Macaca mulatta: one gene and its partners. The protein of the gene in region 3 interacts with the protein of the main gene of each other region in a pairwise test. Links are inferred from orthologs where the notes say so. Each region holds a gene or a part of one and is shown on either strand. Other genes may lie near its edges.

Region 1 (4,667 bases), on a different chromosome or scaffold from region 3:
TCTCGTGTTCTCTGCGCTCTCCTTTCCCCATCCTGTTGCTCGTTTATTTATTTATTTGTTTATTTTGTTCTCCTTTAGGTGGTAAATAAAGATGTCCTGGACGTTTACATTGAGCATCGGCTGATGATGGAGCAGCGGAGTCGGGACCCTGGAACAGCCCGAAGCCCCCAGAACCAGTACCCTGCTGAACTCATGCGCAGATTGTGAGTGGTCTCTGTTGGGAAGTATGTAGGGATTGGTTCTCCAGGATCTTGTTTGTGACTGTTTTCTCCCCTTAGTGAGCTGTATTTTCAAGGCCCAAGTAGCAACAAGCCTCGTGTGATCCGGGAAGTGCGGGCTGACTCTGTGGGGAAATTGGTGACTGTGCGTGGAATTGTCACTCGTGTCTCTGAAGTCAAACCCAAGATGGTGGTGGCCACTTACACTTGTGACCAGTGTGGGGCAGAGACCTACCAGCCGGTACGTGTGGAGCAAGGAGCAGGAAAGCCCTTACCCATTAGTCGTTTTGTAGAGATTAATTTGATCCTGTGATGCCTATCATTTTCTTTGCTTGTAAAAGTTGTCTGTGTGTTTGCCTTTCATTGTTGGGTATGTCATGGTCTTTCTACCTATTTCTTGGGTGTTTGTTGTTGACCCAGAGTTAAGTTCAAAGGGTTCTTGACACTTCCAAGATGTCTGCCATGAAGAGAAAATGTGATTCAAGGAACCGACCGACCCAATGGGGCTCTTTTGCTTCTGACTTCCTTTTGGTGCTTCTGTTCTCACATCCTAGATCCAGTCTCCAACTTTCATGCCTCTGATCATGTGCCCAAGCCAGGAGTGCCAAACCAACCGCTCAGGAGGGCGGCTGTATCTGCAGACACGGGGCTCCAAATTCATCAAATTCCAGGAGATGAAGATGCAAGAACATGTGAGTTTGGGGTACGTGGCCCTGGGCAGGTGGATTGAGAGTCCACTTGAATCCTGTAGTCACTTGTGGAGTGGCAGGAAAAAAGAAGAACGAAAGAGGGAAGTGCAGGAGGGAAGTGGAACTAGAATTTCTGAGAGCCTTGGGAAGGGGAAACTCAGTAGCCCTCCTGTGGGCTTGTCTGTGACTAGGCAGCCTGGGAGCCTTTGAGTGGGATGCCTAGGGAGGGAAGGTTGGGTCCTCGTCCATTTCTCCTGGCCTTATGTGCCTTTCTCTCCCCTAGAGTGATCAAGTGCCCGTGGGAAACATCCCTCGTAGTATCACGGTGCTGGTAGAAGGAGAGAACACGAGAATTGCCCAGCCTGGAGACCACGTCAGCGTCACTGGTATCTTCTTGCCAATCCTGCGCACTGGGTTCCGACAGGTGGTACAGGTAAGGAAGAGTTTGACATGAGGATCGTCCCCTTTTCCCTCACCTACTCATTCTACTCGCACAGAGAAAAGTGGGCAGCAAAACCCCAAACAGAACCCAGGGATTTGTCAAGAAATCGTTAGGGAATCCAGTGATGGGCAAGTTGAAGGGATTGCATCTGTATCCTGGCATTTTCCTGCCCAAGGGTTTACTCTCAGAAACCTACCTGGAAGCCCATCGGATTGTGAAGATGAACAAGAGTGAGGATGATGAGTCTGGGGCTGGAGAGCTCAGCAGGGAGGAGCTGAGGCAGATTGCAGGTGAGGGGCAGGGGAGATAGAGGAAATTCCATTTACATCCTAGCCCCCTTTTCCCCCAAAAAATACAACCTTAACTTCTCTACAGAAGAGGATTTCTACGAAAAGCTGGCAGCTTCAATCGCCCCAGAAATATATGGGCACGAAGATGTGAAGAAGGCACTGCTGCTTCTGCTAGTGGGGGGTGTGGACCAGTCTCCTCGAGGCATGAAGATCCGGGGTAAGAAGGAAAAAGGGAGAGGCTCGGGGGGATGAAGTCATTTAGGAGGGAAAAAGGATGACAAGTGTCTCTGTAGGTCAGAGTATAAGAGTGGACATCTTGCGTTCATGGACACAGGGAGGGCTTAGAAGTAATGCTGGGTGTTAGAGGGAGGCAGAACTCAAAATTGCTCTGTTGTTGTCTAAGTATTGGGAGAAGAGTCATTCCAGGGCTGCCTTCCCTTCCTCCAGGCAACATCAACATCTGTCTGATGGGGGATCCTGGTGTGGCCAAGTCTCAACTCCTGTCGTACATTGATCGGCTGGCCCCCCGCAGTAAGTAGTTGGGCCTTGGGAGAGGTGAACATAGTGACAGATAGGGCCACAGTGTTTATTCAAAAAATGGGGGTGCATGGTGGCTCACACTTGTAACCCCAATGCTCTGAGAGGCTGAGGCGGAAGGATCGTTTGAGACCAGGCTGGTCTACTAAAAAGTTTGTTTGTTTGGGTATTTTTGTTTGTTTGTTTCCTTTTTTTGAGACGGAGTCTCAGTCACCCAGGCTGGAGTGCAATGGCGTGGTTTCGGCTCACTGCAACCTCTGCCTCTCAGGTTCAAGCGATTCTCCCTTCTCAGCCTCCTGAGTAGCTGGGACTACAGACACGTGCCACCACACTTGGCTAATTTTTGTACTTTTAGTAGAGATGGGGCTTTACTATGTTGGGCAGGCTGGTCTCGAACTCCTGACCTCATGATCTGCCTGCCTTGGCCTCTACCAAAGTGCTGGGATTACAGGTGTGAGCCACTGCGCCTGGCCTCTACTAAAAAGTTTTAAAAATTAGTTGGGTGTGGTAGTGAGTGCCTATAGTCTCAGCTACTTGGGAGGCTGAGGCTGGAGGATGGCTTGAGCCCAGGAGCCAGGGTGTCAGTGAGCCACAGTTGTGCTCTGAAGAGAACCGGTGGGAGGGGAAGGGGAACGTTGCCAGCCCCCCACAGATCCTCGGGCGTCTCAAGAAGGCCTGGGGGAGGCAGTGGAATGATCCCAGCACAGGCCTTGCTTCCCTGGCCCATTTATTGTCCTTTGTTTGTTCCCCTTCTTGTTCTTTCTCTCTTATGGTTCCTTATTTCTTTTCTTCCAGGCCAGTACACAACAGGCCGGGGCTCCTCGGGAGTGGGGCTTACGGCAGCTGTGCTGAGAGACTCCGTGAGTGGAGAACTGACTTTAGAGGGTGGGGCTCTGGTGCTGGCTGACCAGGGCGTGTGCTGCATTGATGAGTTTGACAAAATGGCCGAGGCCGACCGCACAGCCATCCACGAGGTCATGGAGCAGCAGACCATCTCCATTGCCAAGGCCGGCATCCTTACTACACTCAATGCCCGCTGCTCCATCCTGGCTGCCGCCAACCCTGCCTATGGGCGCTACAACCCCCGCCGCAGCCTGGAGCAGAACATACAGCTGCCTGCCGCGCTGCTCTCCCGGTTTGACCTCCTCTGGCTGATTCAGGACCGGCCTGACCGAGACAATGACCTACGGTGAATGGAGCTCAACACCCAAAGAGAGGTCCCCTGTAATGATCTATAGGGAGGAGGGGAGGTGAATCAAAACAAATACTGTGCTCCTGGAAACCCCAGAGCCTCCCCCTTGCATCAGGGGCTGGTCCACGGTTCTCGGGGAAATGGTGGGTTGGGGCTGAAATGCTGATGAGGATTTTCAGGAAAGCGTGTCCCTCCTATACTGTAAGGAAGTGGCAGAGTCAAGGGAGGGACACCTAAGAGGACATGGGTGTGTAGCCCTAAAAAGGATGTTCCTCCTGGCCTCCCCTCTATCCAGGTTGGCCCAGCACATCACCTATGTGCACCAGCACAGCCGGCAGCCCCCCTCCCAGTTCGAACCTCTGGACATGAAGCTCATGAGGTAGGAGAGCTGGGTGCAGACGGGCAAACGTTGAGTGGGCCATGCGAGCCTCCTGAAAAAGTGCTTAATCTTAGCGTGTGTTTTTCACACCACCACTTCCCGCTTCGGACATGACCAAAGCCTGAGATCAGCTTTTAAGTGGAAAATTCCACACTTTATACAATAGGGACATGGGAAACTTTCCTACACAATTTTTTTTTTTTTTTTTTTTTGAGACAAAGTCTTGTTCTGTCGCCAGGCTGGAGTGTAGTGGCGTAATCTCAGCTCACTGCAACCTCTCCCTCCCAGGTTCAAGCGATTCCCCTGCCTCAGCCTCCTGAATAGCTGGGATTACAGGTGCACGCCATCACGCCCAGCTAATTTTTTGTGTTTTAGTAGAGAGCGGTTTCACCATGTTGGCCAGGATGGTCTTAATCTCCTGACCTAGTGATCTGCCCGCCTCTGCCTCCCAAAGTGCTGGGATTACAGGTATGAGCCACTGTGCCTGGCCCACAAAAATATTTTTAATAAAATTGTGTTCAGGTTATATGTGTCGGTTGTATATGAAATACAGGTGAATTCCATGTTTAGACTGGAGTCCTATCCCCAAGCTATCCCATTATGTATGTGCAAATACTCCAAAATCTGAAGTCTAAAACACCTGCTCCCAGGCATTCTGGATACTCGGCCTCTATCGCTATTTTTCCACGAGCCTCCAGTGTTCCCTCAGGTTTTTACTCCCTTTTAAATATTCTGTAAACTATTCTCTTTAAATATATCTGTTTTGCCGTGTCATGCGCTCAGAGGAGGGGTCTGGATCATCTATTACTGACAGATGGATTTGTCTTACCCTTACAAAGGCCATTCCCCCCCCCCCCCAAAAAAAAGGAAATAACTTGGGAGGGTCCTTGGGGGCTATATGTTTGGTGAAATCCATCAGT
Region 2 (4,954 bases), on a different chromosome or scaffold from region 3:
CTAGCTTTGGAGAACAGTGTTTTGACTAGATACGGTAAGGCTAAAAACAAAAAGAACTATACGCAAGTACTGTACGCTAGTCAGTAAATATCTTTCTCACAGGGGTATGGGTTAAGAATCCTGCGACTATTTTATGGGTACACTAGGACTGAACAAGTAAATGAGTTTATTGAAACTAATGAGAGCCAGGTTTCTCACTGTTGGAGAAAGCAGTTACAAAAAAGGAAAAAGGGAAACAAGAATGAAACTTACAGAGTTGGAATGGTGTCAGAGATATCAGTATGAACTCGTGATTTTCCACATACAAATAAAGGCAAAAAAACACAGAATTATAGGGCTGTGTGTGTGTGTATGGGTTAGGATTCATACAGGTATTTCTGGCTCTATTGGCTGAGAGGACCTAGATGCAAGGACACCCTGGAATCAACCACTTCTCTGACAGAAACCTAGGGCCCAAGACCTAGGGCTCTTTGGAGAAGTGGTTCATTCCAGATAAGCCTGGAACATCTTGTGGGGCCAGAAAATAAATTGCCCAAAAGATGGTGAAGGCATATCAAAGTCACACAAGAGCTGACCTAAACGGGCTTTCAATAACCAAAGCTGAACAATTTGAGCAACAAAATAATTATAGTATTGAATTATAACCTATAGAATAAACATCCATGAGTCCATACTATTAAATGATTGAATAAAGAACTAATGAGAAAGACGGAACAGCTGGTTCACACAGAATAATTTCAACCAATAAGTTAGGTGAAGGAAGTATAAAGTCACTATAGAATAAATACCAATACAATAACTATTACAGGCAAGATGAACCAGTAGATGCTAAAATCATTGGGTGCAAGTTTGAGGAGACATAGTAGCATAGTCTCAAAATATCTAACCCAAAATATTCATGAATTTAAAAAAAAAAAAAAAAAAAAACAGTCAATTTTGAAGGTGGAAACCTGGCAGACACCACCTTAACAAAATGATCAAGGTTAACATGACCAGTAATAAATGATCTCAACATCATGCCACCCCCATATGATATATTGAGAAGGACACAATCAGAAACATCACGTCAGTGATTTAAAAAATGGATAATGTCAACCTAATCATGAAAAAAAAAATTAGACAAACCCATATTAAAAGACATCCTAAAGACAATTAGCCAGTACTCATCAAAAGTGTCAAGGTCATGAAAGCCAGGAAAGTAGGAATTGTCACAGATAGAGGGAGACTAAGAAGAGAACAAATAAATGAAATGTGAGATTGGATTCTGGAGTAGAAAAAGAACAATACAGGAAAAATTGGTGAAATTCAAATAAGGTCTATAGTTTAGTTATCTACAGTTAGTATTATGGAAGGTCTTTGTTCTTTTTCATACTTAATTTTTTATTTCTTAACTGAAAACATTACTTTTACACTAGGAAAAATAAATTTACTTATCACCTTTTCCTTTCTAACATGTTCATTTATTCAAAATTACATCATACAGAGTAATATAAAAGGGTATATAAATAGCAACTTTGCTTATTGGCTCAATTTGCCTCCCATATATACCTACCACAGCTCTTGCTGTAAGCATTCTCCATAGCATGACAACATTCACTATATGAAAAAGGTAAGGGCATCATGATCACTATGTGAAAAGGGCTCAGTGGCCAAGGGCTCTGTTAGTCAGGGGCTCTGCATTAGGGAAACAGGATTGTGGGTGACTTTCCCTCCTAAATTTTCAAATCAGGCTTTAACAATACAAATATATTTTTAAAGTGAGGTACAGCATACATCCACCCTATGACCTAACAATTCCATCTCCAAATATTTATTCTTTTTTTTCTTCTTCTTCTTTTTTGAGACAGAGTCTCACTCCGTTGCCCAGGCTGGAGTACAGTGGTGCAACCATAGCTCACTGCAGCCTCAACCTCCTGGGCTCAAGTGATCCTTCCATCTCAACCTCCCAAGTAGCAGGTGTGTACCACCACCCCCGGCTAATTTTTTGTATTTTTTGTAGAGACAGGTTTTGCCATGTTGCCCAGGCTGGGATCCCTAAATATTCACTCAAGGGGAAAAAATAAAATAAAGTACATATGTCCATGATACACATAATAACACACATGAATCTCAAAATTATGCTGACCCAAAAAAGCCAGACCAAAAAAGAGTATGCAATGTATGATTCCATTTATACGTGGTAGCTCTAGAAGAGACAAAAACTATCTATGCTGAAGGAAATAAAAGCAATGCTTGAGGGAGGATTGACTAGAAAGGGGTAAAAGGGAACTTTCTGGGATGAAAAGATAAGACATCTTCTGTATCTTAATCAGAATGATAGTGGCAAGATTGTACGCACTTATGAAAACTGATCAAACTATGCATCTTATGCACTTTATTGTATGTAAGTTATGCCTCAATTTAAAAGAATCAGTACTGACTAGGGAAAAATCTGGCACAAAGATTTCATTTGGTTAAAGTGGCCAGTAACCTAAGTCGTAATTGTTCACCTAAATAAAATGTGAGTGTTGGTAGTTAAAATAAATAAATAAATAAGCAGAGAAAATCCTGTCACATGCTACAACATGGATGAGCCTTGAAGACATTATGCTAACTAAAATAAGCCAGTCACAAAAGGACAAGTATGTCCCTGTATGTAGGTACCAATATGAGGTACCTAGAGCAGTCAAATTCACAGGGAAGGAAAGTACAATGGTGGTTGCCACAAGTGGGAGGAGGAAATGGAGAGTTATTATTTAAGGTACAGAGTTTCAGTTTGGGAAGAGAAAACAGTTCTGGAGACGGATGGTAATAATAGCTGCATAGCAATATGAATATAGTAATGCCAATGAATTGTACACTTAAAGATGACTAAAATGGGCCAGGCGCGGTGGCTCAAGCCTGTAATCCCAGCACTTTGGGAGGCCGAGGCGGGCGGATCACAAGGTCAGGAGATCGAGACCACAGTGAAACCCCGTCTCTACTAAAAATACAAAAAATTAGCCGGGCGCGGTGACGGGCGCCTGTAGTCCCAGCTACTCAGGAGGCTGAGGCAGGAGAATGGCGTGAACCCAGGAGGCGGAGCTTGCAGTGAGCCGAGATCGCACCACTGCACTCCAGCCTGGGCAACAGCGTGAGACTCTGTCTCAAAAAAAAAAAAAAAAAAGATGACTAAAATGTAAATTTTGTTATGTATATTCTATCACAGTTTTTAAAAAAACAAAATAAAAACTCTAAAATCTAGACTCATCATCTTATTGCTTAAATCAAAGGAATCATGGAGATCCACCTTGCTTGTATCCTTTGAAAGAAATCAATCATTCCTTTCTGAATCCTTCTGGGCATAAGCCATAGGAAAACAGATTCTACACTTTTCTGTCATTTTATTTTCAAATCCTGCATCTACTAAGCTGTCATTACAGAAGTCTATGATGTTTGTTTCCTTCAGAGTAATGGTCCTTAATCATTCTGGGGTTACAGATGCTTTTGAAGAATCTGATAAAAGCCACTGACCACAATTCTTCATCTGAGGATAACGAAGCTGCTTCATCTAGTTCATATATTAGGCTCTCGAAGGTTTATATTTTGAGAGGAACAAAGAACCAAATGTAACTGAATTATAGGCAGAAGTGGGAACTCAAAGCTTGCATGCAAGTCAGGCAGAGAGATGGAGCCTTCAGCCCACCTGCTTTGGAAAAACTCCATCCCACTTCCCTGGGCCTCAGTGCAATCAGTGCCTTCAGCAAGCCCAGGCTTAATCTATCTGCCCACCTGGACAGAACCAGGAGCCAGCAGCACTACCCACATGGCTTACCTCATACTCGGAATGGCGTGGTAGCCCAATCGGAAGCGGAGTTTGCTGGACCCAGCAAAATCTACAATCACCTTTTCCCCCACAGTGTGCATATGCTTGAGGAGTTCAAGGTGCTCCCTGGTCACAGCCTTCAGACTGGAAATGGCGGTCCATGGTAAGACCAGCCAATGGTAACGGGCCTTTGGGTATTTATCCTTTATTACCACCACCTGCTCATCTTTGTAAACCTAGCAGAGGGACACAAGAGAAGGAAGCAGACATCTACTAAGAATCTTCTGTGTGCCTGGTTGTTATATTCTCTAAGTCACTTAATTCTCACAATCTTGTGCAAATAGTTTTCATAGCCCAGTTTTGAGAGATGAGAGCACTGAGATTCAGATAGGTTCAGTGTCTTGCACAAGTCATAGTTCCTAAGAGGGAAATCTAGGATTTCAACTCAGATCTAGCTGACTCCAGAGTCTGTTTTCAACCACCACACTACACAGAATACACAGAAGATGCATAGTACAAAATAGTTCCCAAGGATCTGATGTAAAATCTCTGTAGGCATAAATTCAAAAGCATCCTTCTCCACTCCAACATGGCAGACTGTGTGACACATACACATGGGTTCCAGTGAGCCCTATTAGACCTGCCCCTTGTCAACCAGGAATGTAATTGAAGTGTAACTCAAAGGCTCCTCAAGGATGATGCCTGGTTTTTTTTTGTTTTTTTTGGTTTTTTTTGTTTTTTGAGATGGAGTTTTGCTCTTGTTGCCCAGGCTGGAGTGCAATGGCGTGATCTCAGCTCACCACAATCTCCACCTCCAGATTCAAGCGATTCTCCTGCCTCAGCCTCTCGAGTAGCTGGGATTACAGGCATGCGCCACCACGCCCAGCTAATTTTTTTTTTTTTTTTTTTTTTGAGACGGAGTCTCGCTGTGTCTCCCAGGCTGGAGTGCAGTGGCGTGATCTCGGCTCACTGCAAGCTCCGCCTCCCGGGTTCACGCCATTCTCCCGCCTCAGCCTCCCAAGTAGCTGAGACTACAGGTGCCCGCCACCACGCCCGGCTAGTTTTCTGTATTTTTAGTAGAGACGGGGTTTCACCATGTTAGCCAGGATAGTCTCGATCTCCTGACCTCGTGATCCACCCGCCTCGGCCTCCCAAAGTGCTGGGATTACA
Region 3 (5,602 bases):
CTCCAGGATGCATTCATGTCTTGGATACAGTGTGAAAATTAAAAAGTTTAGAGGGTAGATGTAATTGTGGCAAGTGACTTGCCAATAAAGTAGGTGCAGCTATAGAAGCTGGCATAGGTATATCCTTAATGGTGCTTTCTCCCTGGGCTTGTCTCTTGTTGTTTTTTTCCCTATATTCAGAGCTCTGAGAAGTGATAAACACCTCCAGCTTTCTTAACATCCTCCCCACACCATCTCACCATATCCATCTCCCAGCATCCATCTGCATTCAGCTAAGGGCGGGAAACTGACCTAGTGCCTGTGCTGCAGACCATTTCTGAGGTCTCCACCCATCCAAGGAGGCAGAGCCATCATTACTGTCCTCCATGCCTTCAGCAGCCCCCCTCACAGCTAAGGTACATACCACCCCTTCTGCCGCGCCCCCTTCCACTCCTGGCACCAAGGTCTTTTGCTGCTTATGTCTAAAGGGATCGCCTATATTTAACTGCCTCAGTGACCTAACCTCTTTCTTCTCATGTGCCAGATGTTAAGATGAAGGAGGAATACAACACATGCTCAAGCCTCAGCTGTTTAGTTGTTTTCACTGGGGCTCGCTTTTCTGGGACGGTATTTATTATCAGACTGGCAAGCCTAACTCCATAGGTTTACAGGAAGTAGGGATATTTTTATAAAACAATTGTGTCCTCCCCACATTTTGCTATGTTAATATTTGCCTCTAACAATTTGCAGCTGTTTCACTTTTTCCTCATTTGTCTCTAAGTTGAAGGCCTTGTTGGAGGGGACAGAGCACAGGAACAGCCTTGACAGTCTGTAATTATTGTACAAATATTTTAATAGCATATAAATAAGTATATTCCTTTTATTTTGAAACAAAAATGATCAGACACTGCCTTTTGTGTGTTTGCTGCCTGTGGCACCCTTTTTGAAAAAGACTGTTACATATTAAAATAGTGTACATACATATAAATATTACCTCTTTTGCTGTACAGTTGTGATAGAGACTGAAGATTTTATTTTTTGTGTGCTTTTTATAAGAAAAAATTAATACACTAAAGAATCTTGCTGATGTGATTGTAATGTACCTATGTAACTTATTTACTTTTGAATGTTCTTCTGTATCTTTAAACCTTTTATTAAATAAGGTTTTAAAAATTCAGAGTTGAATGCTATGTTCTCTCGGGATTTTCACCATCTGGGGTTGATGTAAGTGGGCCTTGTCTTGCTTGCAGGGAGATTACTCGACATTTTTGAGCCATAAGGATTCTCTTTTAGCAGCCTATTGTCGATGCCAGCCAGGAAAAGGAAAATAACACTAATGTTTGCCTGGCTAAAAGATGACTCAGTAGACACAGACAAACAGATGTTTACAAAAGTTTAGACAAGAAAAAGTCTAAACTCAGTATCTCACACAAAAAATGGCGCACTCCGGCTTCATTGGGATAAAATACGCAGGGTGCACAGTGTGGTCAGGGGTAACGGGAAGCCAGGGTTCTGAGGAGAGTATTTTCACGTGCAGGGTGGACTGGCTGGGCAACCCGAGTAGACAAGTCCACCATGAGGGATGCCATGACTTCCAATAGTATCATCTTAAATCCACTCCAGGATTGGGTTATTATTTTTAAAACACGGTGCTTAGCAGTATTTGTTTGCTGTTAAAATGGAAAATTATGAAAAAGGAAATGCGCCATCAGAGAAACAAATGCCCGAGCCCCTCGCTGGCACCATGGCAACCGCTCGACCCCCGCGGGCCGCCGGAGCAGGCGTGATTCGCGCCAGCTGGGGCGCCGTTGCCATGGCGACGCCCGAGCGGCTCCGCCACAGGGGCGGGACGGGGCGGGGCTGACGCCGCTCGCGGGCTGGCCCCATCCTCCACTGCAGCAGTAACGTCGCAGCGGGTTGCGGGTAGGACTCGACGCTGGGGCAGCCGCGCAGCGCCTGAGCCGCTGCAGGCCGCCGCGGCCGCCGCTGCCCACCCTTGCCTGTGCTGTTTCCAGCCTCGCTTCTCCGGCTTTCCTGCTCCTCTGCTGCCTTCGTTTCTGGTCCTCGGCCGTCCTCGCCGCCCGCCCAGAGGAGTCCCCGCGCCCGCCAAGAGGAGTCCCCACGCCCTCCAAGAAGCCGCTCTCCGCTGGCCCGCAGCCGCCGCGACTTCGGCACAGTCTCTCCCTCTGGCTAGTCTCCCAAACGGCCGCTCCTCGCCCGCGGGAAGACCAGGCTGCGACCGCGAACGCCCGATCCTCTCCAGGAGCCGCAGCGAGCGCCCGGCGGGCACGCCCCGCGACCACACCCCGGCTGCTTTCGACCCAGCGCGCCTGCCTTCGCCGCCCGCCCTCGCTCCTTGCCCGCTGCACGACGACGCGACAGCCCGGCTGCAAGCGGCAGACCCGACCGGACCCGGACCCAGACGCAAGATGGCGACGGCCGCGTGACTTCCTCAGCGTCCCCGAGCTCAGCTCCAAGTGTACCTACGGACTGACTGGGGGGGCAGAGAAGGGCGAGATCAGGACTCTGTGTCTTTGTTAGTCGTGAATGCATGAAGCCTACCTCCCTTGGGCCTACTTGGTGGGAGTGTCTGGTATTGTTCTAAGGCCAGGAGTACGGTGAGCCACAGTCTGTTGGTAGAATTGGCGTCTTGATAGTTGAGAAAATGGCGATGACACTGTTGGAAGACTGGTGCCGGGGGATGGATGTGAACTCCCAGAGAGCTCTGTTGGTCTGGGGCATCCCAGTGAACTGTGATGAGGCTGAAATCGAAGAGACCCTCCAGGCAGCGATGCCCCAGGTCCCCTACCGAATGCTTGGGAGAATGTTCTGGAGGGAAGAAAATGCGAAAGCAGCCTTATTAGAGCTCACTGGCGCTGTCGATTACGCCGCGATCCCCAGGGAGATGCCGGGCAAAGGAGGGGTCTGGAAAGTGTTGTTTAAGCCCCCAACTTCTGATGCTGAATTTTTAGAAAGATTGCACCTCTTCCTAGCTAGAGAGGGGTGGACCGTGCAAGATGTTGCCCGTGTCCTTGGGTTTCAGAACCCTACTCCGACCCCGGGCCCAGAGATGCCAGCAGAGATGCTAAACTATATTTTGGATAATGTTATTCAGCCTCTTGTTGAGTCCATATGGTACAAGAGGCTGACACTTTTCTCGGGGAGGGACATCCCAGGGCCTGGAGAGGAAACCTTTGATCCCTGGCTGGAGCACACTAATGAGGTCCTAGAGGAGTGGCAGGTGTCCGATGTAGAAAAGAGGCGGCGGTTGATGGAGAGCCTTAGAGGCCCTGCCGCTGATGTCATTCGCATCCTCAAGTCCAACAACCCCGCGATAACCACTGCCGAATGCCTGAAGGCGCTTGAGCAGGTGTTTGGGAGCGTTGAGAGCTCTAGGGATGCCCAGATCAAATTTCTGAACACTTATCAGAACCCGGGAGAAAAATTGTCTGCTTATGTCATTCGTCTGGAGCCTCTGCTACAGAAGGTGGTAGAGAAGGGGGCCATTGATAAAGATAACGTGAACCAGGCCCGCCTAGAGCAGGTCATTGCTGGGGCCAACCACAGCGGGGCCATCCGAAGGCAGCTGTGGCTTACCGGGGCTGGGGAAGGGCCGGCCCCAAACCTCTTTCAGTTGCTGGTGCAGATCCGTGAGGAGGAAGCCAAGGAGGAGGAGGAGGAGGCTGAGGCCACCCTTCTGCAGTTAGGCCTGGAAGGGCACTTCTGAGTGCCAGAAAAGACAGCTTTAGTGCAGACCTAGATCACAGCTAGTTTTCTTGTCCCTGTGGGGGTCTTACAGATGTGTCTCTGAGTAGTAAAGGCTTAGCCCTGTTCCGTTTTGTTGTTTTTTTGGAGGGGAAGGTTAGTCAGGCCTGAGTATTCATGTAACATTCTAAAATTGTGCAAGCGAGCACCGTGAGCTGCTACAATGCAAGTGGGTCTTGCTGGCTAAAGTGCCAGGTAAAGGGTTGGTTGGACACAGCGCTTAGTGCACGCTGTCATCATGGACATCATAATCAGTTGTGAAAAACACACGAACCTCTGACACTTCCTATTCCACACTGAATGTGAAATTGCATGTGCAGATGTTTACTACGGGGCCTGGCTCACAGGAAGTGTTCAGTAAAAGTATGAACTATTAGATTACTGATAGCGCAGATAGATTTTTCTTTACCATAAATAGTTCCAGATTTATATTGATGGAAGGAAATGTGCATTTATTAGCTATTACTCAACTTTACAATGCAAACATCATATTTCTCATCTTTAAACATGTCGATCAGTTTAATTGAAAAGTATTCTGAGACTGCAAAATGGGGTGTTAAAAAAATACTGCAATTACGGAGCTGTGTAAACCAGTTTCTCATTGCATAAGATACAGATGTAAATTGCATGGAGAGGTTGATATGCACCTGTACAGTAATTCACTTCCCCATTTCAGATCTTTGTCAGAGAATAGTTCTTGTTCATACTGAGTGTTCTAAATTTGAAGTTATATATACAAATTAAAATATTTTAAAAATTCTGTTGTCTTCTCATTTTTCTGGCATGTATAAACATTTTTAGCCTAAGTAAACTCTGTCCTTTTTTCTTATGAAGACTTTGTCATTAAACCATTTATTTTACTCTTAAGCTTTGTATGATACTATGTGAATTTAAATGGCAAGTCCTTTTTTTTCCTTCCCCTCTTGCTGTCATCTTAACATTTTTTTGGTTTATTTTTTAATTTTTTAAATTTTTTATTTTTATTAAGGGCAGAGAGGGTCTTGCTCTGTTGCCCAGGCTGGAGTGCAATGGAGCGATCTCAGCTCACTGCAACGTCTGCCTCCCCCGGATTCAAGTGATTCTCCTGCCTCAGCCTCCTGAGTAGCTGGGATTACAGGCATGTGCCACCACACCTAGCTAATTTTGTATTTTTTTAGTAGAGATGGGTTTCACCACGTTGGTCAGGTTGGTCTGGAACGCCTGACCTCAAGTGATCCACCTGCCTCGGCTTCCCAAAGTGCTGGGATTACAGGCATGAGCCATCTAGTTTTTTCTACTAAAAATACAAAAATTAGCCGGGTGTGGTGGTGGGTGCCTTTAATTCCGGCTACTTGGGAAGCTGAGGCAGGAGAATCACTCTGGGAGGCAGAGGTTGCAGTGAGCCGAGATTGCGCCACTGCACTGCAGCCTGGGCAACAGAGTGAGACTCTTGTCTCAAAAAAAAAAAAAAATCTAGGCCGGGCGCGGTGGCTCACGCCTGTAATCCCAGCACTTTGGGAGGCCGAGGCGGGCGGATCACAAGGTCAGGAGATCGAGACCACGGTGAAACCCCGTCTCTACTAAAAATACAAAAAATTAGCCGGGCGCGGTTGTGGGCGCCTGTAGTCCCAACTACTCGGGAGGCTGAGGCAGGAGAATGGCGTGAACCCGGGAGGCGGAGCTTGCAGTGAGCCGAGATCGCGCCACTGCACTCCAGCCTGGGCGACAGAGCGAGACTCCGTCTCAAAAAAAAAAAAAAAAAAATTTAGAGACCAGATATGGTGGCTCACACTTGTAATCCCAGCACTTAGGGAGGATTGCCTGAAGCCAAGATTTTGAGACCAGCCTGGGCAACACAGACCCAATCTCCACATACATT

Evidence for each region.
Region 1: the proteins of PNMA1 (region 3) and MCM7 interact in binary tests that used the Homo sapiens proteins (3 or more experiments, as listed by UniProt). The two-hybrid records come from large-scale screens. The link is inferred for Macaca mulatta from reciprocal best matches to the Homo sapiens genes PNMA1 and MCM7.
Region 2: the proteins of PNMA1 (region 3) and APTX interact in binary tests that used the Homo sapiens proteins (3 or more experiments, as listed by UniProt). The two-hybrid records come from large-scale screens. The link is inferred for Macaca mulatta from reciprocal best matches to the Homo sapiens genes PNMA1 and APTX.

Annotation. Positions count from the first base shown.
Region 1 is NC_133408.1:47,402,611-47,407,277, reverse strand, and holds part of MCM7 (DNA replication licensing factor MCM7), read left to right. Parts: intron 1-78; coding exon 79-203; intron 204-278; coding exon 279-459; intron 460-772; coding exon 773-910; intron 911-1,190; coding exon 1,191-1,340; intron 1,341-1,524; coding exon 1,525-1,639; intron 1,640-1,724; coding exon 1,725-1,856; intron 1,857-2,086; coding exon 2,087-2,170; intron 2,171-2,971; coding exon 2,972-3,365; intron 3,366-3,663; coding exon 3,664-3,747; intron 3,748-4,667. UniProt on the Homo sapiens protein: Acts as a component of the MCM2-7 complex (MCM complex) which is the replicative helicase essential for 'once per cell cycle' DNA replication initiation and elongation in eukaryotic cells.
Region 2 is NC_133420.1:66,389,331-66,394,284, reverse strand, and holds part of APTX (aprataxin), read right to left. Parts: intron 4,021-4,954; coding exon 3,794-4,020; intron 1-3,793. UniProt on the Homo sapiens protein: DNA-binding protein involved in single-strand DNA break repair, double-strand DNA break repair and base excision repair.
Region 3 is NC_133412.1:146,882,682-146,888,283, reverse strand, and holds PNMA1 (paraneoplastic antigen Ma1), read left to right. Parts: upstream 1-1,841; 5' UTR 1,842-2,644; coding exon 2,645-3,706; 3' UTR 3,707-4,512; downstream 4,513-5,602.